4 linked regions of the Lytechinus pictus genome follow. The protein of the gene in region 2 binds, or shares a complex with, the protein of the main gene of each other region. Links are inferred from orthologs where the notes say so. Each region holds a gene or a part of one and is shown on either strand. Other genes may lie near its edges. The genes, in order: mediator of RNA polymerase II transcription subunit 21-like, mediator of RNA polymerase II transcription subunit 7-A-like, cyclin-dependent kinase 8-like and cyclin-C-like.

Region 1 (7,768 bases), on a different chromosome or scaffold from region 2:
CATCCAGCCACTATCACCAGCTAATTTATGAATGACATTATAGTAAGCATGCGCAGTACAAACCTCCCAGTACCTAGCACAGCATTCTATCAAAACAAGACTTCAATTCTTTATCACCTCGTATCGACATAGAATTTTGACACTTTCCTATATTTCATATGAATTTTGGAATTGTGAGAGATATTTTTGAGAATCTGTTTTCAAACAGATACAGCACAGGTAGGCCTATAGCATATTTCAATTACCTTCTTGCTTTTCTGTCAAAATTTTACCCAATAGCGTTGGTGTTTCATTTTATTCGCTAGTGTTCACAGAATCTATCACAATGTATACGGAGTCAATTGAGTTCCGGGTTTGCGAGCGTTGCATGAATATCCATGAAATTGCTGAATAAAAATTAAATAATCATATCATGTGCAGAAAAGGTGGCCTGATAACGTTATCGCTATTGATACATTCGCACACCTATTGAACAAATAATTGTGGTGAACACGTGGTCATTATGTGATCTGCGGGATGAATCAATCAGTGGTCTCTGAATTGCTCTGTAGAGCAGGGCTATACATGTACGTTGAACACAGTCAATTGGCAGTTTGCCACTGTGTGCATACTGTAGGCTTCATAGCATTATCATTGTGTTTCTGTGAAAATACATTTGTAAAATGTGAACGCACTAAAAACATTACTTTCTTCCTTTAGTCAAAATAGAGAGCTGTAATCTTCATGACATTCATGGACATACGTACCTTGTTTCTCACACCCAGGGAACTTGGACGGCTGAGCACTCTGTTGGAGTACACCAATGCTATTGCACATGTGCTCAGCAAGCTGAAATTAACAAGAGATATTAGACAGATGGACAGAGGAATATGGAGAGAGAGAGAGGGGGTGTTGCAAAAGGAACTGTTTCTGAATGTTTTCCAAAAGGATTTGGGGATTTTTTTAGTTTTATTTTTTTATATTTTTTATCCCGTTTTTATAATGAAAAATAAAAAAACATATTGAGGCCTCCAAAATTGAAGCAGGTGAGGACAAGAAAAGGAAAAGTTAGACCTCCATGTCGCGTTCGTTCTCGATCGGCCATTTTGTTTTCAATTTTGAAAGAAGGAGAACGAACGTGACAGAACTTTTCCTTTTTTTGAGGGTCCAGTTTATGCCTCGATGTCAGGATTCTGTGACACGATAGACCTTCATCCATATATTATAATCTAGGTAAGTGCATTATTTATGTTTTCCCCTTTTATTTGGGGCGCTATTGCGACCCCATTCTACCCCATTTTGGAGAGTACCCGCTAACTAATATTACAGTTACACGGACCAGTCCCTGCCTGGGTTAGAATTTTAATGCCGAAAACGCCCTGGTGCACCCATGGGTGCATTATTGCCGCCGTCTACAGGAAAATTGAAGGAACAGCGCATGCAAAATTGAATCAAACTCCCGCGAATTTCCCCCAAAAAATTGTAAAACTAAGTACTTATAAGAAACTTTCCGAACGATGTCAAGTCAATTCCCCCTAATATGATGAATATCCCTCAAATTGCGTCATTTAAGCGTTGATTTTTCTTCTTGTTGGCAAAATACGGACCCTGCTACCATCTCCCAAATTTTTTGTATAATGAGCTAAAGAGGGCGCGCGATTTATCTTCATATCAAAGACACCACAAGGGAAAGACTAGGCACAAAAACCATTTTACACGTAAATTGATGCAAAGCGTTACGCGAAGTCGGCAAAGTGTCCAATCTTTTTACTGTAAAGACTTTGGGGGAACGTTAATTGACAAATGAACGGTAGCACTTAAGGTACATAGAATTTTCTATATTTTTTGTTTAATTTGTCATCGCTTTGAATATTTTCCAAAAAGTATTATCGATGCTTGAAAAAAAATAAAAAAGTATTATCGTCAGCAAATATTATAAAAAGTATGTTTTTTAAGTACTGTAATTGCATTTATTGGTGTCTCTATTTTATCAAACAATCATTGGAATTGCGCATACAATGAATACAAATCTAGTTTAAAAAATACCGACAATCTGAATTAAGGTTGTGAATTGTATTAGCACCACCAATGACCTTCCTTTTATTTCCGTCGAAGAGACATGTGAAGCAACTTTCCAGGCCGAGGTAAGCGATTTTGCTCTTTTTTTGCATGCTTTTTCCATTAATAAAATTCGTAAAATTGAACATTTTATTCTTCGCGTTATGAAGCGATGTTAACCGACAACTCTAAAATCCATACTGTAAACACGTACGTGGTGCGAGGTTTGTATAGCACTAACCTCGCAATACGTGTGAGTGCCCCTGGTGAGTCAGCGGAATAAGTTTCGGCTAACAAAGTCAATGTTGAACATTATTCACGTTATGATATGACACTCATTCAATGAACAAGGTTATGAAGCGATGTTAACCGACAAACTCTAAAATCCATTGCGTAAACACGTTCGTAGTGCGAGGTTAGTACTGTATATAGCATACTAACCTCGCAATACGTGTGAGTGCGCAGACATGTCATGGGATAGTCTGCAGGCACAGACCCTCATTGGAACTTTGATCAACAAGTGTGCCTCCACGCAAAGACTAGCACATACAAAACTTGCTGTTCGCGAGAGAGCCTTCAGTACACAAGGCATGAGTAGGCTGCACATTCAGACCCTTAACTCGAGCGAAGGGTTTGCCCAGCAGACTAGACATGGGATGTGGCCACCCTGTGAGTGTGACCCTTCCTGGCTTTAAAAAAAACATCACAAATACGAATACGTGGGGCCGGCATATATTTTGATTGAGAAACTTAGTATTATTACAATCTTGACAGATTACCATTTGCTATCAAACCACTTTTTTGTAATTCAAACAATTTCACAATTAATCAAATTATAATATGCATCAGTAGCAAATAATATTACCTGATTTACAGCGTCTTGAAGTTGTGTGACACGGTCTGCCATCGCCAATTTATTGTTTTCTCAGCTGTAGCAAGCTTAACAGTAGATGGCGCACTGTCAAAATTTATGATCAAATGCAAAAATTAAAGCTAAGGAGATTGATGATTTGCAAAGTCACGGCGAGTTTCCCAAATCAAAGTAGACATTAGGAGGAAGAAGTTGAGATCTGTCCAAAATGAGTACTCTTGCATACGCCATACCTTTGTCTATAATAGGTGGATATATTGTTGTATCATCTGTGTTGTTCAGATATCCGACATTGATTCATTCGAAGAAGAAATCAAAGATTAACGCGAAGCTTATCGCACACCGGGGAGGTAAGTACGATATTGTCGAAAATGCATTGAAGGCATCGCCCGAAACTTGGGGGGTGTGATTTGTTTTTTTCCGTATCCTCTCGCTCGCGCTCGACGCGACGTCAGGGGCCTGGGGCCCGTTTCTCAACACCGTCATAAGTCTAACTTCTTGACTAAATCGGAGATAGTGAGCTACTTGTCCGCTAACCGTTTCACGAAGCCCTCTTTACCAAGATCAGGTACAACAACCTCACTAAATATTTATGACACCTCCGAACCTGTCATAACTTATTTCTTAATGACGTAGTGGCAGCATCACATGGGTTAGACGAATAACCGTCGTTTCTGGGGATTTATTCAACAATTTCTGACATTTTACTGTAATCCCCATTTACCGACGGTAGGGTGTACGTGTGGGCTCGCATGTGTTCTCATTCCCTCCCTTTTGTCAATTCACAGTCCAAAGTTTGATGTAATTTTACACATCGAATTTACAATCTAAGGATGTATAAACAACAAACTTTTAAAGCTTTATATCTCAATGTTTAAATACTTTAAACGATATAGATGAAAAAGGCATGAAAAATATACTTTACCGATGTTTAATTGGGTTGAACACGATAAAAATGGTCAAAATGGCAGCCAAACTATAAAATATTTACAAACGAACGTCAACAATCACGAATGTGATATCGATATTGCTTTCGATATTAATTATTATACGATCTGCTCCATATGCGAACGAAACCGAAGATAAACGATACTAGTACTAGTTATAATCGCGATATATCGATTCGAGACATTAAGTTAATAACGATAATGACGTCATTCAAGATGGCAACTTGCAAGAAAAACCGTCAAGTCAGGTGAAAATGTCTTAGATGACATATTTCTCAATCATCCAGAGGATTTTTTTTCAATAACTCCGGCCCAAGGTATGCAATTACTTAAGTTATTTATATTTACCTGATAATGGAAACCATGAAACTTTCAATTTTGCTTAAAAAACAGTTTTAAATCGCGATCTATAAAACGCTAGTTCACTATACGTTGGCTGTAGGTACGGGGCCCCATCCCCTTCAGTCTATGTATGGTGAGTGGAGCCAACGTAGTTCAGCGGAACAACCAAAATACAGAGACTGAAGCTTTGTGAGTGGAGCCAACGTAGTTCAGCGGAACAACCAAAATACAGAGACTGAAGCTTTTGGTCTACACATGGGTAGACTATGACATGCAAAAGTGCCTAGAAATTTGAAAATAATAATCTTACGTAATCAATCATAGAGGTTGAAATTACATCATAAAACAAGTGGGATAATGCATTCAATGATAATTCTAATACAAAGAAACTATAAAAACTGTTGGTAAAACGCCACAAAACCATTCACTTTGAAATAGTAAAATGATTTAATCGATAAAGATTCTACCACGTCAGGCCATCCATAACTGGACTCGTATTTGTTGTTTTCAGACCCCTATTAACATTTGGATAAATTCTATCTCTAATTTATGCATAGAAATTGTCAAATCGTATGTTTCGGTATCAAATATTTATTTTTGATTTTGTTAAACTATATTTTGATGATGTTTGGAATCGTAGAAGGGCGTATAATTATCATCATTTTAAAAAGAAAACCGTTATGGTTTACTTTCGTAAACTATTAAAATTCGATGTCACGGGGGTACCCATCTCAACGTCCACATGTGATTTTCTAGTCATGAAATAAACTATTCATAATTTAATTTTCTCAGCAATTGAATGCTCCAATCTTCATGGTCTAAGTATGTATGATGCATAATTTACATGTGCTATTATTTTGAAAAGATGTATTTCCCAATTTATCACAATATTTGCAATTTTGTCATAATTTTTCTTTTTGCAAATTATGATATTTTGTGACTAAGGCTACGTCTCGTCTGCTGTTTTTACCGATAGTATCGATATCACGGTATTCTAGTTAGGAAGCCTTTCGTGAAACAGGTTTAGTAAGATTGGAACTAACTCCGTGGTTGGTGGATAAAGATATGACTAACTTGTCCAGGTGTTGAGAAACGGGCCCCTGGGGCCGATTTCACGAAAGCACTCACACAACTAGTTAGTATAAGCGGGGTGTTTATCAAATTTATGATAAACAAATACAATTCGTAAGCTTGCTTTTAAATCAAATTTTATACAATTTTGTGAGATATCACATCATTTACAAATATTTTGTTTATTTTAACAGACGAATAAAATATGTTTGCAGATAATTTAGGCCTATTTGTAGGTATGTGACAAAAAAAATGAAAATCATCAAATATGAATAAATTTGGTATCACTTGAAAGCTCTTAAAAAGACCTTTAAAATGATACCAAGAACTTTAATTTTCATCAAGAAATTAGAAAGTTATTCCAGTTTAAGTTGCGCATATTCATCCAAATTTGTGGTCATTGTCTTAATGTAAAGTCAATGCAACGTTCTCGCCAACACGCGTCACCTTTGTCGGCCGCCGACAACCGTGAAAGTTTTGTGAGCCTTGGCCGACAACCGTGAATGTCCCCGACAACCCTGACCGACAACCGTGAAACACGCTAGATATTGTCATTACTAAGTTTTGAAATGAACGAGATTCATCATGAAAGTTTTGTTTTTAAGACATACTTGTCAGAAATTTGAGCCTCGCCACTGAGTCTGCTTCGGTTTCGAGCAGAGAACCCTCCTAAATTCCGTCTTCTCTCCATTCACTGGCTTTTCGCTCGATCAGTGCCCTTACTATTTAGCGTGCGTGCAACTCGCTCGAAAGGCCCACTGTCATGACTGTGCAGCATGCGCTGCATGCATATCGCCCAGAGCGGATATCTCTCCGTCTCTCCCCCTTTTCTTTTTTTTCTAACGAGACTTCGTGTTTGGCGGCAGTGGCCTCTCTCCTCTTCGCTCAAAAATTGTATTCGTGAGGGCAATTGCCGCCTTAATAAAATACATAAGAACAAGTGGGGATATGTCATCATCTGCCAAAAACAATGCTTGAGTCTTTATCTAGTTTTCAGATGGACACTATTATTAAACCAGTCGTTCTTGGTTAATATTAAATCCTCGAAAGTTGCAGTTAAAAAAACAACAAATACAAAATCAATAATAAGCCGTTTTATCACTCTGAGAAAAAAAAGATAAATTCCCGTTTTTGCCATATTCTGATTGAAATTCAATGGGGCAGGGCAGGAGCATTGAGTGCCAGGATATTTGACTTGAAATGCGGAGGGGGCAATAGCCGTAAGACAATGTGATTTTCTGTAATGTATTTTGTGAATTATAGAGATATCAGAATAATACGACCCGCCCGAACCTCTCCTGTTTTTCCTACTTTTCTTACAATTCTTTCTCTTTCTCCCTCCTTCCCAATTTTCACTCGGAAAATCAGAAGGCAACCCCTACCCTTCTCTAAGGACATATTCCCGCGCATAATAGGGAATGTTGTTAGAATGCAATTTCTCGAAATTCGCTCGTTCGATGAAATACATTGCCTTGGTCGGTAATATAATCCTGAAGATGATTTCGATGAGAAATACCGCACTACCACAAAATAGAAATACAAAATAGAATCACATCATGAACATGTCAATAAATAGGGATAAATGGGTCCGTTGATGATAATAAGTATGAATAGGTACTGACCATCCATGCGCCACCGGCATCGTAACTAAGGGCAGACTCGCCATGAATGTGGATTTGCCACGATGTCCACGTGGGGAGAAATCGGACCACTTCTTCTTTCCTTGGTTGGTAACCACGTTCAATTGGTGATTAGTCTTTCTCTATAACGCACACTTGCAATTGCTTTTATTTTAATCTTCAATTCGGCTGCACTGTACTGTTAACCAATAACCTGTAACTGTAATATTGAATTTACTTGTATATCTAAATCAACATATCGCTAATGATTCGATTCAAAGATGAGAACCTGAGAAAACTTGTAATCGCGGATTTAGAGAAAATTCAAAGCAAAATAGAGTCTGAATATGCAGACTTGCAGACAAGCATCATGTTTGGCATGTTTTGTAAACAAAGGCGCGTGCCCTACTTAATTGAATGATCCGAATCATGATTACGCAGTGAAAATCCTTGGCTGTGGTCAAGCTCATGAGGCCCTTGGGAATAAGGGATTTATTGTCAGTCAGTGCCTTTTTAGGACACACAGAATGAACAGCGGTACTTGGAAAAGAGAGGTGTATTCGATCATGATTATGTCATATCATAGACCTATTTATGGTCATATTTAGTCGTTACTTTTTCTCAAATTGTGATTTGTATTCTTGTTAAAAGTTAGACCTAGATGTTTGACAAAAAATACGATTCAGTAAGTCTTTCCCATAAAATAAATGAGTATGCATCGTGTTTTGTGATTATGAAAGACCCATGACAGAGTGAGTATCAAGTTGATTTCATTTTAATCAAGTTCGGACCTTTCAGTGTCTCTCTTGCTCTCACTCTCTTTCAGTCTTTCTTCCTCAGTTTTAACATGAAAACCAAAGGTGTAGATTCTTGAATTTCCC
Region 2 (7,522 bases):
TGTATGTTAGAGACTATTGAATGTTCTACTTGTGAATGTTGTACATCAAGATACTATTTTGTTGTCATGGCTTTCTGAATGATTTTTATCTCGTAGAAATGAACACCCAAGTTTAAAGTAAGGAACTGAATCGTTTCCAACTGGTTACTTTTATTCATTGTCGGCTTTTTACTTGAGAGGCTTTTTTTTTTCAGAAATAAAATCATGGTGTACACGGTTAAATAATTATGTTACATATCTATGATAAAGATGGTGAAGACTTTAAAAATCAAATTACTATCACTGTCCTGTGATTTATGCAGAAATAAATGTCAGTTTTCATGGAGATTGATAGCATAGTAGATTTCCATGTGGTATGCAGGTTGGGGGGTAACCTTTTTCCCCTCCAAAGCAAATTTCTTTTTGATGAAAGTTGTGTTTTACACCTCTTTTTTATGATGAAAGAAATTTGTTTAAAGTCAAGTTGTTGCATTCCTGAATATCCTGAAACATTTGAAAGGGGAGTCCACCCTGGATTCATTCTGGTTTAAATAAAATCAGAAAAATAAAGGCAAATCTTGTTGAAGGTTTTGTAAAATCCATCAAAGAATTACTGGTTCATATATTTTTTTTCAAGTTTTAATCATAGAATGTTGTGGAATCACTTGTGGGCATCTGTCCCATTAGCCATGTACATTTAATGTCAATTCTATACAGTTTTTTTTAGACAAATTGAAATGTTTTATGTGTGCATTCAATGTGTAATCAAACACTTGTTTCTGTCCTAGTCATCATGACATGAAAGTGCTGCTCACACATGATTCGACATAATCGAACTACAAACTCATTATTTGATTTTGATGTACTAAGTATTTGCCCAACCTTATGCTATTATCAGTTACTGATTGACCTTTATAGGGTGGACTTCTACTTATAATGTTCTTTTGTGAGTTTGGGGTGTTGTGTATATTCTAAACACGTAAAGTGAAACTTCTCAACTTCATATAGCAGTACTGTGTAGATGCCTAGATTATTATCTCCTTGATATAGAATATACATGTGCATTGTCATAGTATAAAGGTACATTGCATCCAGTCCGGGTAACTGTCCCAAAATGTATCAAATCACTTGCAGAACGGTTGCATAATAACTTACGAACCAGGGGTCGGTTTCATAAAGCTGTTCGTAAGTTAAGAGCGACTTTAAGAACGACTGGTGATCCATTCTTATGGTAAACGGTATATTCATTGGCGATGGTTAAGCGCGTAAAAAGGATCACCAGCCGTTCTTTAAGTCGCTCTTAACTTACGAACAGCTTTATGAAACGGGCCCCTGACATGGTGAATGATCGGTGTGAACGGTGTCATTGGAATAGCATAAATAAATAATTTATTCCCTCTTTCATTCCTGAACCGTACCTCTTGACTTGGGACTAGATTGCTTTTATCATTTATATTCCACAACTTTTTTAAAAATTTTCAATGGAATTGCAAACTTTGTTCTTCTGTTATTTTCTGTTTTCCCTTTCACAAGAAGAAAAACTAGATGCTGCTTTTATAAAAACCTTTTTTAACCCCTTGTATTCATTGTTAGATAGGGATGAGTATCTAAATTATTTATAAATCTACCTATGTGTTATGGTGTACTGTATACACCATATATTTCATCTGAAGACATATTTTTACCCAACTTTTTCTAAATTGATCTCAATTCTTTGTATAGATAAATTAAGAATTGAATTCACTGCCGCTATTTAGTTGCAAAAATTGATGAGGTTCCACCTAAAGGAAATATTTCACCCTCTTTGTCTACCCCCTCCCCTACCAATAAAAAACCCCAACGATTAATTGAAAAAGGTTATTGAAAAGTTTTATTTGTTTGGAAATTCCTCATTTGCAATTGTATTTGTTATACTTCTGAACCAAAAATTTCTTTCATTGGGATGTCATGTACTCACTATTGTAACTTGGAAAAATATGCATGTCTGGCTGACAAGTTGTGCAATTAGAATTATTGGCCTTCTTATCATTTGTAAAAAAAATAATAAAATACTGTAATTCCATTTATTATTCATTTAGCAAATATATTCAATACTAATCATAAATTTCCAAGAATTGCTAAAATGGATCACAAAAGTGAAAAGGGGGTAATTTAATGGCCTAGGATTATTTCACGTTTGTGTAAATGTTCATCTTATATTGCCCTTACATTTGATTTTTTTTCTTCATTTTTTATAGTACCGTACCAATTCTGAATATCAATATTCATTTAACAGTACCTATCCATTATCCATCAATGTAAAGACTGGATATTGTTTTGTGATCAGTACAAATTTTGAAATAATAATATTCATATAATTACCATTGCTATGCATTCAGTAATAAGACTATGAATATTCATTTTTAAACAATATTTATCATGAATAGTAATGTGCCTACTCATGTCACAATACAAATATTTCATTTGCATTTTTATCTCTACGAATATGCATATTTTAAAGAGAACTGACATTCTTCGTTATCTTTATATTTTCAAAACAAAACCTCCCTATGAATATTCATTGTTGAACAGTAGATTTTACAGTTATTATTCTAAGTCTACTCTTATGTACTTCCAACAATATTTCTTATTTAATAGACATATGTTTGTAAGTACTTGTTATGTCTATTACTGCCTACACATTTCAAATATGTGTTTTATTTATTTCGGTGGGTGATGGGATTAATTTAATCAAAGTTATCTGGGGTTTAAATTCTTATAAAGTGCAATGGAATTGATTAGCAAATGTATTCTTCGTTTCAAATCAGGAGTTTTTTTTTTATCTTAATAGATTTGATTTTAGCCCTGTGATATGACATACATAAGTGTATTACAAAGATGATTGATTGTATGTGAAGTAATATTATTCAATGCATCTCTTTCTAAACTTCTAAGGCACAGTGAAACTCGACCCTTTTTTTACTTTAAAAATGTTCCCGATAATATGTTTACCATATTTTGTATGATCATTGGGCCAATGATAAATAAAAAATCTTCCATGTCTCTCACAAATGAAGTTCATTTGCATGGTGTATTTCTCCACATTCTGTGTCTGTATTGGCTTTGAAGTGTTCAGAGGGTAAAGTGTACAGTGGTGTTAAAAAGTTAGTGCACCCCACCAGAAAATGTACTCCTTTATGCTGAGTGTTCAATGGGCAATCCTTTTGATTATTTTATATATTCAACATATTTGCAATTCATTTTGTTTATTTCAATTGATGCCATCTATTTGTTATATATATAATATGTATTGTGTTTTTAATAATCATAAAATAAATAAACAAACTAACTAACAAACAATGGATACAGGAGCACTACAATGTTTAGCAAGCCCAGAGAAACAAACCTTATTGAATTTAATATTTTATCACCTGACTTCACAATTACAAATATGTCTTATACAAGGCAGAACTTGAGCACTTGAAATATATTCATTTTCTGGTGGGGTTCACTAAACTTTTTAGCACCACTGGATCTGGATGTATACGATGCAGGGCCCTTCTGGGCATAAACGCATCGGGTACTTGACCTGGATTTTTGCCGGGACCGGCAGGTGCAATACACCGGGTGAACACCCTACTCTTTGACGAATAGTGTATTGGTTTTAACGTGCATAGGTTGTACCTCTCCTATACACGGGACCAACATTTGCGTCCTTTCCGATGGACGGAGTGTTTTCCAACTGTATTCACACCTGCACTGAATACAGTGGTGAGGCACGCTAACACACAACGCTATAGCATCAGACTTTTTTTGTTAGACGCGTTTCGGCATGAGCGGGACTCGAACCCCTCACGTTGAGATCTACGATCTTATCCGAAACATGCGCTCTAACCGACTGAGCTACGCTGCCTCCCTACTGTATGTACATGTAATACATTGAAGGTCATGGCAGGAGATGGATATAGTGATCATTGCAATTAATAATTTCATAAGAGGGGGGAAAAGGAGGGAAAAGAAGAAGAGGAAGAATAAGATGATGATGGAGAAGAAGGAGGAGGAGGGAATGTGGGGACGAAGCTAGACAAGAGCAGAGGAGAAAACTCAGGATCACCTTATTTTCTTACTTTGGGAGGGGTCAGTCTAGAAAAGTACACAAAAACGTATATAATTTTCAAGACGACAAGTCCAGAAAAAAATAGATTCATGTTGGATTGTAGGTTACAAGGATAATGATGACAGCCAATGTAATATTTCTAGATGCTCAGCCAATTTAAAGAATTTAAAATTCAGAAATAAAGGAAAGAATAAACAAGGAATGGAAAAAAGAAGAGATAAATATATAAAGAAGCGAAGATCGGAAGATATTGAAAGAAAGGAAGGCAAAAAAAAGGAAAAAAAGTGATAGGGCTGGATACTTGTATAGGGTCGATTATCTTTCATTAATACTATTAAGTTAGATAAAGTCATGTTCTTGCAATCATACAGTATACAGCTTTTGAAAAAAATATAAATGCTAATTTTGTGTTCATGCATTATAACGAACACTGTAGCGCCATCTTTAGACGATTGTCATCCAAGCTAGCTAGCTAGCCGGCGCCGCGCCGAAGAGCTAGACTAGAGGTACGGCAGAAGAGAAATCTTCGTTTTTCCTTGCCTATTTCTAGTGCTGATCTGTTCGAAATTTGTTTCAAATTTTCAGTCTTCGAGTGGCTCAAACATCAATCCAGGCTAATGTGAGTTCATACGAAATTTTACGCTTATTTAAGTTATTTTAATGACTTGCCGGTGATCGATCACTGCGAGGCAAGTTTCATGTGTGCGGTATTTTATTGCAAGTTTCATGTGTGCGGTATTTTATTCCTTCGCCTGCCTGAACTTCCGGGGAGGAGTCTGGCTTGTGAAGGCTAGGCAAAGGCAGCTGCGTAATACTGTGTTGATTGTTAATCTGACTCTGAAGTTAGTGTTGCACATGTGCCTTAAATTACTTAGTTCAGGGGGGTCAAGAGTCAAGTATGACTAACTTAGGGTCGCATTTGAGTCGTCAACAGACGGCTGGCAGCCGTCTGTTTCGAGGAGTTTTTCTTTTTACATTGTTTTTTAAATTTCTCCTCGTACACAGTCACAGACGGCTCACGATCATGCAGCCGCCATTAGGGGTTTAACAATGCAAAATCCCCTTGACGGGGCTCATCGATTTTCGTCTTTATTTCATATTATGAAATTATATAATATAAATAAGAACTGGACCAAAATAAAGCCAGGTTATTATTCCATTTTGGCCTGAAATGCACCAAAATAGGAAAAAATTAAACTTAAAAAAATAAAACTAAAATTAAAAAAGGAAAAAAACAACAAAAACAGTGACTTACATGGAGTACTTCAGCTGTCGCGCAACTCCCACTTCCCTGGTTTATACAAACTTAATACATAGTATGGCCATTGGCATTGAGTCCCTGTACAGATCGAGTTAGAACTTCGGTCTCTGTATAAATTGGTGAGTGGATCGAGCCAACGGAGTTCAGCGGAACAACCAATATAACAGAGACCAGTGGCGTAACAGGCGGGGGGGGGGGGGGGGGGGCCCTGGCGGATTTCACCGGGAAAATAAAAAAAAACAGGGAAAAGAAAAAAAGGGAGGGAGAAGGAAAGGGGGAGGAAAGGAGGAAAAGGAAAGGGAAAAGAAAACGAAGATTTTTTTTTTTTATGGAAAAGGAAAAAAAGCGGGAAAAGGTGCGAAAGAAGAACATTTGACAAAGAACAAATCATTCCAAAATAGGCTTATGTGATGCAATAGCATGATGGGAAATAAATTAAAAGATGACAAAATGGCAAACAATAGCGGGAAACGAAGGTACATTGTAGAATGGAATAAGTCAAAAGCTAGATAAGAAAAAGAAAAGGGACAAGAAAAAGAAAAACGATAACATGACCGGGCTGCCAAGGATTGAAAATAAAGAGCGAGAAGAAAGATGGACTGCACACAACATTGTGCTATACATGTAAGCTTGCTAAATTTTATGCAAATAAGCTACCGGGGCTTTGCAGTACCCGCAGTAGGGGCTCTTCATCTATAACCATCAAATGGCTCTATAACGCCCCCGTTCAATGACGTTCAATCACTGGCATACAGGCGCGGGGGGGGGGGGGGGGGTCTTGGTTCCACACCCAAGAGGAAATAAAATAAATTTTAGGAGACAACGTATAATGAAATGAATGGAAACAATGAAATGTGTTATTTGCTGAATATAATGGAAAAATCTATCACATAATTAGAATTTAATTTCAATAGGCAATTTTTTTTTCCAGCTCGCTTTGCACGCTGGCGACTTAACAAATTCAATTCACTTTACTCGCATCCGGGAAAAATTTGGCTCTTGCCCCCCTGGCCCGCGACCCCTGTTACGCCGCTGACAGAGACCAAAGCCTTTGGTCCAAGTTGTCACATGCGGTATACATCATCAGGTCTAGCCTAGGTCTAACGTTACATGTAAAGCCAGGCGTGACTACATTTGTCAGATCATGCCAAGAGGACGCGCACTACGTATTGTCTATTGATCAATAGGATTGCGCGTTTCATTGCGACTTTAACTTTTAAGTCATACAGTTAAATCTTTGTGAAACACCCCCCCCCCCCCCCCCCCCGCGGATTTAAAAAAAAGTTCAAATGGAAATTTGATCTTTTTTTAAATTCAATTTTTACGTCAACTTAGGCCATGTATTTGGCAAAGACAAAGTGTGACTGAGTATTAAAACAATCAGCATAGAGATCGAAGCAAGAATATAACTTTTCCCTGTGTGGCTGAAATTCAGGTGATTAATGCATTTTTTTTTGGAGAGAAAAGCTTTGCAAAAATTGATCTCAAATGAGTTTGCTAAAAATAGGCATTTGAATTGGGCTGGCTATGAAAGTATTATTTTTACCAATTTACCATGCCAAATACATTAATCATGTACCGGCAACAGAAATTGAAAGGAAATAAGATGGAAGAAATTAATCAAATAAGATTTAAAACATTTCCACACTATAAGATAATTGGCACTTTCTTGATAATATTGTTAACTTATTTTCCCTCTTATTTTTCTGCAGACAACATGAATGAACCACAGGGAGTAAGCTCTCTCCCTCTCCCTCCAATGATGTATATTGCTAACTACACTGATGAGCGAGTACTCAACAAGACCACGCCTAAACCTCCTCTACCCGTACAAGAAGCATATGGAATGTTTGGAGCCACATTCGTTTCCAATGATGATATCATTCGTCCTCTCGAGTCGCAGGGTTTGAAGCGTCTTCATCCGCAGCGGTTCGACCACAAGAAGGAGCTAAAGAAAATCAACCATTCCATTCTTGTGAACTTCCTCGACCTCATAGACACACTTATCGTCTGTCCGAACGGGCCAAGGAGAGAGGAAAAGTTGGACGATATGAATCTCCTCTTCATTCACATGCATCATTTGATCAATGAATTTCGTCCACACCAAGCCAGGGAAACGCTGCGTGTCATGATGGAGGTGCAGAAACGACAGAGACTTGATACGGCAGAACGTTTCCAAAAACACT
Region 3 (7,556 bases), on a different chromosome or scaffold from region 2:
AGTTGTACGTTATCTTATCCCGCGCGAAGCGCATTAAAGCAAAATTAAATTTGAGAAAAAAATAGTGAAAAAAAGTTGATAGACTCACAAAGCTGCGTTTCTTCCCACATTCTTCCTCCAACCCCCCCCCCCCCCGATATCAGGCCTACTATGCCGAATAACCGTACTAGGCAAGTTAATATTTTTAACAAGACCAGTAAAAATCAACAGGAGCTGCCGTTGAGGGCAAATTAAGGATACCAGTTATTTTTAGTGTCTTAAGAACAATGACTTTGTTTGCAGATCATTACGAATTATGGAAAATGAACTTATTAAAATGACGGTATTATCATTTATCTTTATTATTAACATTATTATCAACCCCAGCCCCCATAATTCGTAATGATCTGCAAATAAGTCATTATTACGATGTTGGCAAGCGAAAAGATTTCACTGAATTCCATAGGTGTGTGTAAACGTTTGTCCTGTACTATATATATATATACATATATATATACATACATCCCGGATATATATACATATATATATATGACCGCCGAAAGACCGATTTTTCTTCCGTGGAAACGTGCATGAAATTAAAATTCGAAGCTCATTTCCACGGCAGAAAAATCGGTCTTTCGGCGGTCATATATATGTATATATCCGGGATGTATGTATATATACATATATATATATATACAAAAGCTTACACACACCCGCCTATGAATTCAGTGAAATCTGTTCGCTTGCCAACATCGTAAAATTTACTAGGGCGCCTATATCTTCAGAAATATAAATATTTACCATGACGATCTGATCAGTATCAAATGAAACGAGTGTATCAAGCTCATTCACATCATTTGGACTCGTTGGGATTAAAGTATATTTCAGGTGGAATTTTCTTTGAAAAAAAAAGAAGTAATATTCGTGCCAAATGGATTATATTGTTTTTATTATATTTTTCAAACATGCAGAAACATAATAATATAAAGTAAAATCTATGGTTTATATTATATTTTCTATCATGATATATCACCATGCACTGAACAAAAAGTGTAATCTGAAATGTTTGTGGTGAGTAACTATCACAAATATGAAATGTTTCTGTAAAGTTGTTATTTTTGATTTGTCTAAATTAGATTTTTTTTGGGGAAAAAACAATGCATGACACCTTGAAATTTTCCCGAGCTCCCAGTCGATCCTGCATGATGACAAATTAAAGTAGATACGAACCAATAGCGCCATCTCGAGTCCTCAACTACTCATACCTGGCCAGTTTCCTGACCCATAATGCTAATGTAGTCTAGTAATATAGACCCACTTAATGATAACATGCTAATTAACTACTCACTACCGCAAAAATTATGTTGCCAAGTAGCAAAACAATTACTTTTCCTCTCAAAACATTTTAGTTTCTCTACAAATACAAATATATTCTCTGTAGTAAATATCTGAAAAAGTTTATTTTAAGATTATGTATTTATAACACAAAGTCAATGAGAGACCACACTCACTCCCCCCCCCCCGGGGGGGGGGGGCAGTCAAATATATGTCTATACACACGCGTGACCTAAAAAACGCGTTTAAAGGGGTGTTTTTTTTTCAGTTTTGGACTCGTTAAAAGGTATCAAAAACACAGATTTTCAACTAAGAAAAGGGATGGTTTTGAAAGACTGGTCAATGGTCAATCGCGGGGTCAAACGTATTTAGGGTATGTTTTTTTTCCAAAGCTCTTTTTTTTTTATAAAGACTAGCCAAACGTGTTTAGGGTATGTTTTTTTCCCAATTAGCTTTTCCCCCCGAGGTCATATTTTGGCGACTCGATCCTGTTTTAGGGGCCAAAGTGTGTAAATAAAGCCAGCGAAAAACTTGTTTAGGGGATTATTTTGCACACAGAGAAAAAACTCGTTTAGGGGGTGTTTGACAATTTCTTGGTCACTCGTGTGTACAGCAATATATTTGACCACCCCCCCCCCCCCGGCCGGGTCCGCAGCAATGATGAAGGGGCATGACATTTGTTCGCATGGGTGTCGATCGGTATTCTTGGTTGGGGGGATGATTGACACAAATGTTCTTGTGGATGGGGATCTTTCAACATTACCCCCACTAAAATCACAAGTTAGGACAATTGGGAGTGGTTGATATGCATGGTGTTCTTGCAGTGGCGTACCGTGAGTCACGGCATTGGGGGAGGGGGGTACCAGCAAAATTTTTGAGTCACTTAGTGAGTGCGCGAAGCGCGCTCAGTTGCCAGGTATACTGACCTAATATAGGGACATTTTAAGGACAGTGCCATTAAACGGATATGTATCTCACTGCTCAAATAATGCGAGCGCGAAGCGCGAGCTGAAAATTTTTGATATGCAGACCAAAAAAAGGACATTATAAGCAAATTTTTGTAATCATGATACATACCTGTCTCGCTAAACAAACAATGCGAGCGCGAAGCGCGAGCTGAAATTTTTTTAAATATTTACCCCAAACAAGTACATGTTAAGGACTATATTTTAGGAATCCATTAAGAGTATACATATCTCACCATAGTCATCTAATGCGAGTGCAAAGCGCTTGCTGATTTTGCTACATCTAAACACATGAAGCACTTTTTGTAGTCATTGTAATCATGATAATACGCATCTCACTCATAAAATATTGCGAGCGCGAAGCGCGAGCTGAAAATTTAGGATATTCAGACCTGAAGAGAGGCATTCTAAGGCCTGTTTGTAAGAATTCACTAAGACCATACGATACGTATTTCACTAAACAAATGATGCGATCGAAAATTTTTGATATTCAGATCAGAAAAAGGGACATTTTAAGGACTGATTTTTAGGAATTCATGAAGAGCAGTCATATCTCACCAATCTACTAGTGCGAACGTAAGCACGGACAGGAAATTTTTATATTAACACCTTAAAATGGGGCAATCACTTTAAGTAGTCATGAAAAAGAACCATATGTCACTACATAAAACAATAATAAGTCAAAGTGCGAGGAAATATATTTGGTGTATATTGACTTAAAAACGTTAAACAGACAATGCGAGTACCGGGAACAATGAAGAAATCTAGGCCTGAGCAAAATAAAATTATGAAAAAAAAAAGTTTCTTATGTAATAAAACATAACATTATTATAATATAACATTATAATGAACAATAATTTCTTCATTCCCACTACGTTTCTCTTCCTTTCTCCTCTTCCCCGTTTTTTTTTTGGCCAGCCGATTGGGGGGCACGTGCCCCCATGCCCCCCCCCCCGTAGTTACGCCACTGTGTTCTTGGAAATTCTTTCATTATTGCAGTGTACTGTACTTATACTTTTTTTTTGAAAATTCAATTTGTGTTACAAGTAAGCCCATTCTAAACTCATACGAAAGAAAAAATGACAAAAATTGTCTGGACCATGTACAAAGTGATCTGTTTATTGGACATGATGTATACAACTTCTCTCTTAAATCTAACCCGACTGGCGATATTTTTTTTCTTCTTAATGCATGATGATAAAATGCAGATTCGGACAAATTAAGACTAGCACAAAGTACAAACTGTGTGGCTTCTCGTGCGCAATCGGGCTCAGTTACCGTCATTCCTTAGACGATTTTAACCCTGGATTTTAACATGTTTTAAATGCTTTATAAGTGCAATAAACAAAAACAAACATAAAAACAATCAAAACTCAACTGTCATGTTATGATATTTCTCCAACATTTTCTTGAACCATCAGTGTGTAATATCAGCTAATATATGTGTTAAAATGAAATTTACGTACCGCATGAGTGTGCTCATATAGAATGCAAAACTGTCATCCCTTTCCAAACTCAAAAGAGATTTCTTTTTGCCAAAATAAGAAAGAGCCAATCAAGTTTAGTTATTCAAGTCCATAACAATAACAAGAATAACATGGAAAAAAAATCCGATCTTCATATCCGAAGATACGCTTTAGAGAGAAATGAATGATTATTCTTTCTGAAACCATTAATTGATTTCACTTATTAAAAATTGTATAAAAAAAAATATGATCATATTACCACTGGTGGGATGGAACACCCTATCAACAAAAGTTGTTTTTCGTCGGGGTTCTTTTATGTCATGTGTTAAACAATATCATATACGTAAACATTTCATTCTTTTTCATCTTGAACCTCCACCCATCTGTTTAAAAGTCCTGGAAAAGAATGTTTTTATTTAATAACAATATACACAAATTGCGAGGGAAACAAACTGATTGATGGCATACTATAATCATCACTATAATCATCATGATCAAACCTTTACATTTTTTCATCATCATAAATTGTCTACCCTAAATTATTGGGGGGATGATAATACAGGCCATCCCCCCTACTTGAAATATTGGGGGGGATATATCCCCCCCATCCCCCCCGTGATCGACACCCATGTTTGTTCGAGATCAAATTCGTGATAGCATAAACATCTTATAAGATACAGTAAATTTTATGGTGTTTGGCACCTGTCCGCTTTTCTTTGAATTTCCTGGGTGTATCCCCGGGCGGCGTCATGCCTCAACTAGCTGTACCAAAATCCTCCGACATTTCTCCGAACTTGCTCAATTAATCCGGATGGCGAATGCGGATCGCACGTTTTTTTTTGCTTCGGGTAGGTATCCGTACCGGTACCGTATCGATATCCCGGGCGAGTCGAGTGACGTCCTAGTCCTAGACACAAACCGGCTCAAACGACTTACCTTTCTTCGTCTCTTGACAGGCTCCGGCTGACTTTTTTTAAATTGTTGATTCTCAGTGGCCATATTTGGTGAGTAATTATTTTCTAAATAATGAAAAAAAATCAGTTACGCGCAATATGTCTTGATTTGGTGAATGGTATCGTAATTCGTATACTTGTCTGATCCGACTGCGTGTCAATTTCCTCGTGCGGCGATTTACTTAGTGTACAATTCGAATTAGATTATCACGAAATCGGGATATCCCTATTTAATATGTGTGTAATAGAGTTGCATGTCCTGATAAACGCAATATCCATGTCAAAGAATTAGTTTTGCTATTTGCTATTTAAGCTTACGTAAAGTCACGAAGTACATGCACAATCCCCCTTCTCTGCGCACGCGTATCTGGCTATCTGCATGATTCTAGTAAAAAGAGTAAGGAGAGTTTTCTCTTGCCTTTTTGATTTTCTACAACACACATTTAAAAAAATCATAAAAATGTGATTTTTGTAACCAAAAATCCGTCCAGACTACAGTACAGTCATGACAGTTGCAATCTATAATATTAGTAAGGTATGGATCATATTTGTATTCACTGGAGAGACTGGAGTGCTCAGCACAGTGCAATTGTGGCATAGACTCACTGTGTACAACGGATAGACCATCACTCAGACTGAGTCAGAGTCAGACTCAGTCTCGTCTCAGAGCTCAGCGAATTGGAGACCGCTGATTGGTCAATGCGCAGATCATGTCATGACTACGACGGTCGCCAAAATAATTCCCTAGGACTGCGTGCGAAAGTATTGATACTTTAGCGATAACAATATCCGGAAATAGTCTTTGTGCGATCGGATCGCTCCAGTATCGATCGAAAATTATTGAGACTCTGGTGTCTGCAATTTCATGCATATTCATTTTATTATTATACATATTATTTTTGTGCAGGCCCTCTATTGGTGAAAAGTAACACTAAGAAAATTTTCAATTTTCAATCTCTATTTTTGATTCAGAAAAAAATACTTAAAAGACTTCAATTTTTTTAAGAATCAATATATGACGAATAGTTGTATGAAAATTGAGAAGTGTAGAGACCCTTTTTTGACTAAATAAACTGGGGCCTGTTGCATGAAAGGGTCTTTCGTAGAACCATTCTACGTAAGAACGAGATATCGCTCAACTGTTTCACAAAGCCGATTTGGGCGATACGAAGAATGGTCCTTGGAAAGACACCTCCAGACATGTCCTACGTAGGCATGATCTTCTTTGCACACCGCCCGCCACCGTCGGCATTGAGAGAAAATGCGTTTACGGCAAGCCACACTGACATATCACCTTTAAACATTTTTTGGGGTTGCACACTGATGCATTTTATCTGGGATGGCGCCAAGTTATTTTTTATATGGGGGCTATTTGTCATCAATTTCAGGTCGTCTTTTTGCACGGCAAGACGACCAAAAACAGATGTCATTTTAACTTCTCCGGGCATTATGTCCGGGCCTAATGTAGGCCCAAATATTTTTTAAATATGTTTTCTTTTATTCTCCGTCCTATCCCCATACCATTTCCATTAATTTTTTTTGAAATAACGAAATGGGCGGCACTATCTCTCTGACCCCTCATGCTTTCTCAATGTAGATGATTAAATAACATGAAAACAAATTTATTTAAAAGAAATTATGTAAGGTAAAAAACGTGTTAATAACGTTCAGCAAAAAAAAAACACGATACAAAACTAAAATGTTAAACATGGTAAATCATTCATTTATTTTTATTTCATTTTCATTATAATTATTTTTTTTTTGCTGAGATTAATTTCAATCAATGAAAATTAATTGTCGGATTTGGGCTAACTTGAGATGTGAAACAATGAAACAAAACAAAAAATCTGCAGTAACAAAATAGCTAATTGAATTTAAGATACAGATTAGGCCTATAGCTTACGAATCCATCACAATTATTACAAATGAAGATAAGCTAGTTCATTAAAGAAAAGATTATGGGAAGTCCATATGAAGATGCGTATTTCAAATCGTAGGGTAGGCCCCTTTCGGCCCCTATGTAGGCCTAATGTTAAAGCAATAATGTAGTCTCTATACTCCTCAACTTTGAAATGTTGAACATATATATTTTTTATATTCTTAAACCTTATATTCTTATATAAGCTTCCATAAATTAAGTGATCAACTTTAAAGATGACCAACGTTTATGATCATTGTAATATTTAGCATTATTTCTGTAAATAGTATTTTTTCCATTGCGGATTGCACACCTTTTCTATGTTTAAATTGTTATTACAAAGCACTACTTTATCCTCTTGGACATGTTTGCAGCAATTTTCATATTTTCCTGGTCTTCGGTTACTTATCATGCAACTGAGGTATGTCAGGGACTCGGTTTTATAATTATAAGGGGAGCAATAAAAAGCTCTCCTAGAACTTTTAAGGAGAGCGGTAGAGGAGCACTTCAAAAAGCTCTTCTTCAACATACAAGGGGAGCTTTTTGCCCAATTAACAAAATGGATGGAGGAAATGTATGTACTATAAAATTACAATCAACAACCAAAGGAAGTATTTATAATTGTTTTACAATGTATTGTAATTAGATTGTGTGTTGTAAAACCTGTTTTAGTTAGGTTTTGACTTTGGCTAAAAGTTAAGTCACTGACAATTTTTTTTTTTTTTTCGGGGGCTCCATTTTAATTTTTTTGTCAAATTCCGGGGGCTCTTTTTAAATGCTACTTTTTTGTATTTTGAGGAATACCTGTTCACTTATTAAGGAATTATTACTTTTTGTTTAATATTGTATTATTTTTAAAGTTATATATCATGTTTAGAATCTTGGATGTGGGTGTGTGTGGATGGGTGTGTGCGTGTGTGTGTGACTGTGAGTTGGA
Region 4 (7,595 bases), on a different chromosome or scaffold from region 2:
GGGGGGGGGGGGACGAAAGGCTAGAAAAATAAACTTGTGCCTTTTTTTAATGTTTTCTTTATTTTTTGGGACCAGTAGATTTTAGGTTCGGACCAGTAAAAATTTGAAAAACTGGGTATCTACTGGTCCGACATGAATAGGTTGGACCAGTAGAAATAATTGGTTAGTGTGGAGCCCTGGCATATGATTTCTTTGGTTCCAGCAACTACCCCTGGATGATAATCCCCCACCCCCCAACCCTCGGACAATTCCCCTCCCCCATCCCCCCACCCACCCTGGACAATTACCCCCCCCCCCGGACAACTACACTGTACCCCTATCGAAAAATCTACACCTAACCTAACCCTATTTCGGGGGTAATTGCCCTGTGGTAGGTTTGTGCACAGGGTAAACATGACTTGATATTGATTTTCTTTGCTTGAACATTAGAAATTAAGTTTTCAATGAATATAATTTGTAATCAAAGAAAGAGAATTAAAATAATAATCTTAGGATTTCTAGAAAAAAATAAAAACAGATTGATTTTAATTGTCTATTATCTCATTATTTTCTTGTTATTATGGTCTCAATAAAATTGTTGATATCATTATAGTCTCATCATTGTTTCATTATTGTCCCAATTAGTATTATAATTATAATAATTATTATTATTATGATAATTATTTTTGTTTCATTAATATTATTTTCTAAATAATTATTACAATTATAATTACTATCATTATAGTAATTATAGTTATAATTATTCAATAATAATAATTATTATTGAAATAATAATTATTATTGTCTCAATAATTATAAGGCCTATAATTATAATTATGATTATTTTTATAATTATAATAATTTTTATAATAATAATAATTATTGATGACTTATCAATATTACTGTCTCAGTAATTATTACAAGTACAATTATTTTCATTATAATTATCATTATAATCATTTTATGATAATTATTATTATTGTAATAACAGTTATTATTGACCCAATAATTATAAGGCCTTTAATTATAATTATGATTATGTTTATTATCATAATAATTTTTATAATAATAATTATTGATGACCTTTCAATATTACTGTCTCAGTAATTATTACAATCATAATTACTTTCATTATAATTGTTATCATTATAATTATGTTATAATTATTATTATTGTAATAATAGTTATTATTGTCTCATTAATTATAAGGCCTATAATTATAATTACTATAATTATAATTATTTCTACAATTGTATTTATTTTAATTATAAGTATTATTATTATGATTATTATTGATATCTCATTAATATTATTGTCTCAGTAATTATTACAATTCAAATTACATCATTATAATTGTTTTCATAACAATTATTTTATTATAATAATGATTATTGTAATACTTATTATTGTCAATAAATACTAGAATTGATGTCTCAATAATTATTACAATTATAATTATTATCATTATAATTATAATTGTTATCATTATAATCATAATGATTATTATAATTGTCGCAATGTTTATTGTCTCATATTATTAATGTATCATCACTGTTAATTGCCTCATTATTGTCTTCTCTTACTTTTTCATAATATCTTCAAATTAATAATTAACACCAGAACAAAGGTCCATAAATCAGATATCAAATTCATAAAACACATCTCATGTATGTAAACCGATTTCTAAATTAAATTCATGCAAGGAGCTTTCTGTGCCATTCAAAAATACGACTTTCATTAACAATACCATATTCTAGACATTCAGACGCATTCCAACAAAAAAATCACTTATCAAACAAAATTCTTGAAGTTTACTTGCAGCTTTGCTCTTAAAACTTATTTCACACGAATTCTACAAAATTATTTTCAAAATAACAATTTGATTTTCATAATTAACAGAGCTCAAATCGTAATTAAAAAAAATATACAACGGCTGAAACATACTGTGTCTGAATACCAAGACTAATCTCAGGCCCAACGCAGTGGGGATGACGTCACTCACACGCTCAAAACAACCCTGCTCGATCGGCCGAGTCAGATTCACAAACACCCCATGACACTCAAAACTGAAGCTCATATTCGCAAACTCTCTACGGACCAAATTTGATTAGAATTTCACAAAATGTTCTCAAATATACAATTTTATTACTGACCGAGTTTACAAGGGATCCGATGATTACAAGAAGGTGATTTCAAGCAAAGAAAAATAAATACCTGAATATTAGGTCCTTCCCTCGCATGAAGGTAAGGGAAACTCTGTCTTGTATATTTCCGATGTTTACTGAAGATGTACGAAGCAACCGCGGGAATTTTTGACCAATCAAAATCAGCGGAATAAAGGAAGAAACTGACTCTGTCTTTTCGAGCAATGCCGAATGCAACTCCAGCGCTCGGCCAAAGTGCCGAGCGGAGCGAACTGTGTGTGTTAGATAGGCGCTCGCCATTCACTGCAATGCAAAAATCTACGTCTAGCGCTGTGTCCGCGCGATCGCCCACCCGACTGAAGTGCCTATTTGGACTCTTGGAGATTCCTAGGGTCCAAGGTAAACAGATATATGTTCCATATACGCTGTCATTCTGGTTTAGGAGGTTTGAACCATGTCAGTACAGAATACATCAATTTTGTGGAGGAAAAAGAGAATGAATGAATCATGAATCATGATTTTTACTCCCCATACGCCTCCAGGCTAGTAGGGAGTACCGGGTACGGGTGCCGAGGCCAGCCCAGGGGAAGTGCATTATTGACTGAGCCAGGCACAGGCACAGCCAGTAGTACCGGTACTGTGCGGCAAAATACCGACGCATATTTGCTCACAAAATAATACACGAAACGCTCCTTAGTCAACAGATTAATCTTTAAAAGAATACACTTACCAATGAGAACTTTGCCAAAAGTTTCCTGCCATTTTTATAGCGAAAAACCTCCAATTAATCAATAAATAACGACTTTTCTCGCTCCTGCTCTTTGTGTCAATTGTAATTGGTGTAAATTGTTAATGGTGTTTCTGACGAAGCAAAAAAAAAGGAAATACACAGAGCGCAGTCACCCCATCCTGAATCCCCGCCCCCGTAATTCAGTGAAAGTTTTTGCTGTCATAACAGGGGCGGCGGAACATACTTTCGTTAGGGGGAGGGGGTCGGGCAAAGCCAGAAAAGGCACTTATATGTCAAAATGGGCATTTGGTGCAAAAAGATATTTTCACCATGAGATTATCCCAACCCCAGATCCCAGCTAGCAAACTTACATTGGGCCAACGTTGTAATATAGGGTATTTATACTGCGCACATATCCACCTTTTTAGGTGCTCAAGGCGCTCCTATATTACCCGGCTAAGCTAGGCGTTCATAGCGCTCACAGCTTCTTGAGGAATAACTTCCTACCGGTACCCATTTACCTCACCTGGGTTGAGTGCAGCACATTGTGGATCAGTTTCTTGCTGAAGGAAATTACGCCATGGTTGTGCTATATTAAGGTCGGGCAAATGTCGAGCGATGCATTGGCCCAATTTATTGACGTTGGACTGATATTAAAATATCCGACCTGCCAACGGTCAATTTTAAAACATTGAACCAGCATAAAATTGTAATGTTGGACCTTTGTAAAATTCTAATATTGGCCTAACATCATTTATTGACGTTGGACTAATGTTAAAGTATTTGCCGAGCCAACATCCGATTGAGGACATTGAACCAACATCAGATAACAATGTTAGGTCTATCTATAAAATGCCTCCAAAATTGTCCCAACATCATTTATTGACGTTGTGCTAATGTTAAAATGGCTGATCCGCCAACGGTCAATTTGAAACATTGAACCAACATCAAATTGTTAGAGCCGTGTAAAAAAAAGTGTCCATCGAGCCAACATCAATTAAAACGTTAATTGGGCCAATATCAGACAATAATGTTGTGCTTGTGTATGATTACAACATTGACCCAACATCATATATTGACGTTAGGCTAATCAATGTTAAAATGTCCACCCCGCCAACGGTCAATTTTAAAACAATAAAACAATTATGAACATCAAATTTAATGTTGGATCTGCGTAAAATTCCAACATTGGCCTAACATCAGTTATTGACGCTGGGCCAACGTAATCCCTACGTATGGCAATCATAAAAACATTAATTAGTTTCAAAGTGAGGGCCACTTTTACACTCTTATTCCCTAATTGCTTATCCTATTCTACAATCCTATATCCTAATCCTAACATATCCTACACCTATCCTGCCAGTCATTCCTATTTATATATGACGACTTTGCGATACTTAGAAAATTGCAGTTAATAACAGGTTTCTTTATTTAACCTTGAACATTTCGTCTATGAATTATCTATTTTATGAAAATGATATGGCGACAAAGCTACATACTTTTGTGAAACTTATGAGGGAGGAATAATTGCGTATTACGTTATTTGCGGTTTAATTGTTACAAAATTTTGGTGACTAGATAATGAATATTCATGAATGCCTAATGAAAGACAAAGAATATGTCAACATTTGCTCAACTTCGGTCCAGTTTTGGCATTACGTTGGTGCAACGTCATATTACCAACGAGACCAAATTTACATTGTACTTTATTCCTTTTTAAACAACCAATTAAGCAACAAAAAGGATTCAATTCAATTAAAAAAATTATCTTTATTGATAATCAAACATGTTAACAATCAAAGATGAAAAGACAGCAATTAAGAGCTGGAAAATCATGTTTACAAGTTGGGTTTGGCACAATTAAAGATTCCAACGTTGTTACCATCATCTCAATGTCCAACATCTTTCCAACCTTACATATCCCAGTCTTGGGTGCTTCAACGTATCTCCAGCGAAACAAGCTTCCAACATTGTGTCATCATCATCTGTTCATTAACATTCCAACCTATGGCTTCACGATTTTGTTTTTAATAATCACAACTGATATTACTTTCCTTTCATTTCTCTCTCTTTCGGTTGTTTCTGTTACATATAATTCCTTCACCCCCCTCCCGCCGGGCCGCCCCCTCACTACCTTTTCAATGGGTCTGTGGGCTTTTTCGGATCAGCTAAAGCCTCTTTCTTCCCTCTTCATTTTCCCTTTATACTCCTCTTTCTCTTCCCTTTATTTCCTTCTCTCTTTCTTTTTCCCCTTTTGCTGAGGGAGGGGGGGGGGGGGGGTAAGCAATTAATCTCCCGGATCCGCGCCTGGTTGTCCAACAACTCTCCATAACCAGTTATTTTTTCCTTATGTCATCGTTGTCTGCCAGATTATTGAATGTGTTGATGGCAACACCACAACCAGTGGTCGGCTTATTACACATGAGCGACTCTTAGAATTTAAACACAAACTATTGAATGTTGATTGGACTCCTGTTAATAGCAATACTGATGCAAACAAATCGTATGATTTATTTATACATTTATTTTCCAAGTTGTATAATGATTGTTTTCCTGTTGTTCAGAGGCACAACTATAAGTTGAAGGGTAAAAGACCATGGGTCACACCTGGTATACTTAAATCCAGTGGCGTACCGTGGGTCATGGCATTGGGGGGGGGGGCACCAGCAAAAATTTTGAGTCACTAAGTGAGCGCGCGAAGCGCGCCCAGTTGCCAGGTATACTGACCTGAGACATTTTAAGGACAGTGCCATTAAATGGATATGTCTCTCATTTGTCAAATAATGCGAGCGCGAAGCGCGAGCTTAAAATTTTTGATATTCAGACCTAAAAAGGGACATTATCATCAATCTTTTGTAATCAAATCATGATACGTACCTGTCTCACTAAATAATGCGAACGCGAAGCGCGAGCTGAAATTTTTGTAATTATTGACCCCAAACAGGAAGATTTTAAGGACTATATATTTTAGGAATCCATTAAGAGTATACACATCTCACCATAGTCATCTGATGCGAGTGCCAATAAGCGCTTGCTGATTTTGTTAAAATTACATCTAAACATGCGCATAAAGCACTTGGAATCTTGATTAACATACCCATCTCACTAATCACATCTTGCGAGCGCGGAGCGCGAGCTGATAATTTAGGAAATTCAAACCTGAAGAGGGGCATTTTAAGGCTTGTTTGTAAGAATTCACGAAGACCATACGTAGTTCACTAACCAAATAATGATGCGAGCGCGTAGCACGAGCTGAAAATTTTTTAAGGACCGATTCTAGGAATTCATGGAGAGCAGACATATTTCACCAATCCACTACTGCGAACGTAAGCACGGACAGGAAATATCTTATATTAAGATTACAGGATTTCGGTAAACAGACAATGCGAGCACCAGGAACAATGAAGACATAGACCCTGAGCAAATTATGTTTCATAAATTTATGAAAAAAATGTTTCTTATGTAATATAACAAAACATAATTATGATATTATGACATAATGATATTATGATATAATATAACATTATAATGAACAATAATGTATTCTTTCCCACAACGTTTTCTTCCTTTCTCCCTCTTTTTCTCCTTTTCCCCGTTTTTTTTTTTTTTTTTTGTCAGCCGATTGGGGGGCACGTGCCCCCATGCCCCCCCCGTAGTTACGCCACTGCTTAAATCAATTAACGTCAAACAGAAATTATATCATAAATATTTGAAGAAATCTGTTAGTAAGAAAAAATATGTCACATACAAAAATATACTTACTACTATTATCAGATCGTCTAAAAAAAGATATTTTCATAACAAGTTTTATAAGATCAAAGGTGACATGAAAAAAAAACTTGGAATAATATCAATGGGTTATTGGGGAAGAGGCGACAAAATATACCACTTAAAATGTATAATGATAATGTTCATATGTCCTCACCTCGTGTGATCGCAGATTCCTTTAACCATTACTTTGTCAATATTGCTGAAAGAATTTCACATAATATACCTACCTCTTCTCACATATTTCATGACTTCTTGCCTGTTGATAAGAGCTACTTTTCATTATTCCTAAAACCTACATCTATTCATGAAATTCTAAAAATTTCTCTTCTATGAAATCATCAAAAGCTAGTGGGTTTGATGACTTGACCCCCAGAGTTCTTAAGGACTCAATTCATTTATTTGTTGAACAACTTTGTGCAATATTTAATAAATCCTTATCACAAGGGATTGTTCCTGACAAATTAAAAATATTCAAAATAATACCTGTTTGGATAATTATAGACCCATATCACTATTACCATTTTTTTCGAAAATGTTAGAAAAGATTATTCACAAAAGATTATATTCCCACCTTCAAGCAAATGATATCCTCATACCAGAGAAATTTGGATTTCGTGAAAATTTTTCAACTTCCATGGGTGCATTAAACATTGCAAATTTTATATCACAAAAAAATGATGATGGCAATTATTGTCTTGGTTTATTCATGGATCTGTCAAAAGCTTTTGACACCATTGACCATGACATACTCTTACGTAAACTGAATGCTTATGGTGTCAGAGGGTTAGCGTTAGATTGGTTCAAACATTATTTGCATAACAGATATCAGTTTGTCATGGTCAATGGTGTCCAATCACAGCGTAAACTTATTAAATATGGAATTCCGCAAGGCTCTATTCTCGGGCCCCTCCTGTTCCTCGTATACATAAATGATATTACAAATTCTTCAAAATTATTCCATTACTCATTAT

The links.
Region 1: mediator of RNA polymerase II transcription subunit 7-A-like (region 2) and mediator of RNA polymerase II transcription subunit 21-like share a complex: the UniProt entries of both Caenorhabditis elegans proteins name them as parts of the mediator complex. The link is inferred for Lytechinus pictus from reciprocal best matches to the Caenorhabditis elegans genes let-49 and mdt-21.
Region 3: mediator of RNA polymerase II transcription subunit 7-A-like (region 2) and cyclin-dependent kinase 8-like share a complex: the UniProt entries of both Caenorhabditis elegans proteins name them as parts of the mediator complex. The link is inferred for Lytechinus pictus from reciprocal best matches to the Caenorhabditis elegans genes let-49 and cdk-8.
Region 4: mediator of RNA polymerase II transcription subunit 7-A-like (region 2) and cyclin-C-like share a complex: the UniProt entries of both Caenorhabditis elegans proteins name them as parts of the mediator complex. The link is inferred for Lytechinus pictus from reciprocal best matches to the Caenorhabditis elegans genes let-49 and cic-1.

What each region holds. Positions count from the first base shown.
Region 1 is NC_087246.1:11,388,647-11,396,414, forward strand, and holds the start of mediator of RNA polymerase II transcription subunit 21-like, read right to left. Parts: upstream 3,007-7,768; 5' UTR 2,945-3,006; coding exon 2,903-2,944; intron 829-2,902; coding exon 747-828; intron 1-746. UniProt on the Caenorhabditis elegans protein: Component of the Mediator complex, a coactivator involved in the regulated transcription of nearly all RNA polymerase II-dependent genes.
Region 2 is NC_087254.1:21,134,738-21,142,259, forward strand, and holds the start of mediator of RNA polymerase II transcription subunit 7-A-like, read left to right. Parts: upstream 1-4,521; 5' UTR 4,522-4,694; intron 4,695-7,048; 5' UTR 7,049-7,053; coding exon 7,054-7,522. UniProt on the Caenorhabditis elegans protein: Component of the Mediator complex, a coactivator involved in the regulated transcription of nearly all RNA polymerase II-dependent genes.
Region 3 is NC_087248.1:26,627,081-26,634,636, forward strand, and holds the start of cyclin-dependent kinase 8-like, read left to right. Parts: upstream 1-4,548; 5' UTR 4,549-4,752; intron 4,753-7,556. UniProt on the Caenorhabditis elegans protein: Component of the Mediator complex, a coactivator involved in regulated gene transcription of nearly all RNA polymerase II-dependent genes.
Region 4 is NC_087260.1:4,723,410-4,731,004, reverse strand, and holds the start of cyclin-C-like, read right to left. Parts: upstream 3,025-7,595; 5' UTR 2,886-3,024; coding exon 2,854-2,885; intron 1-2,853. UniProt on the Caenorhabditis elegans protein: Component of the Mediator complex, a coactivator involved in regulated gene transcription of nearly all RNA polymerase II-dependent genes.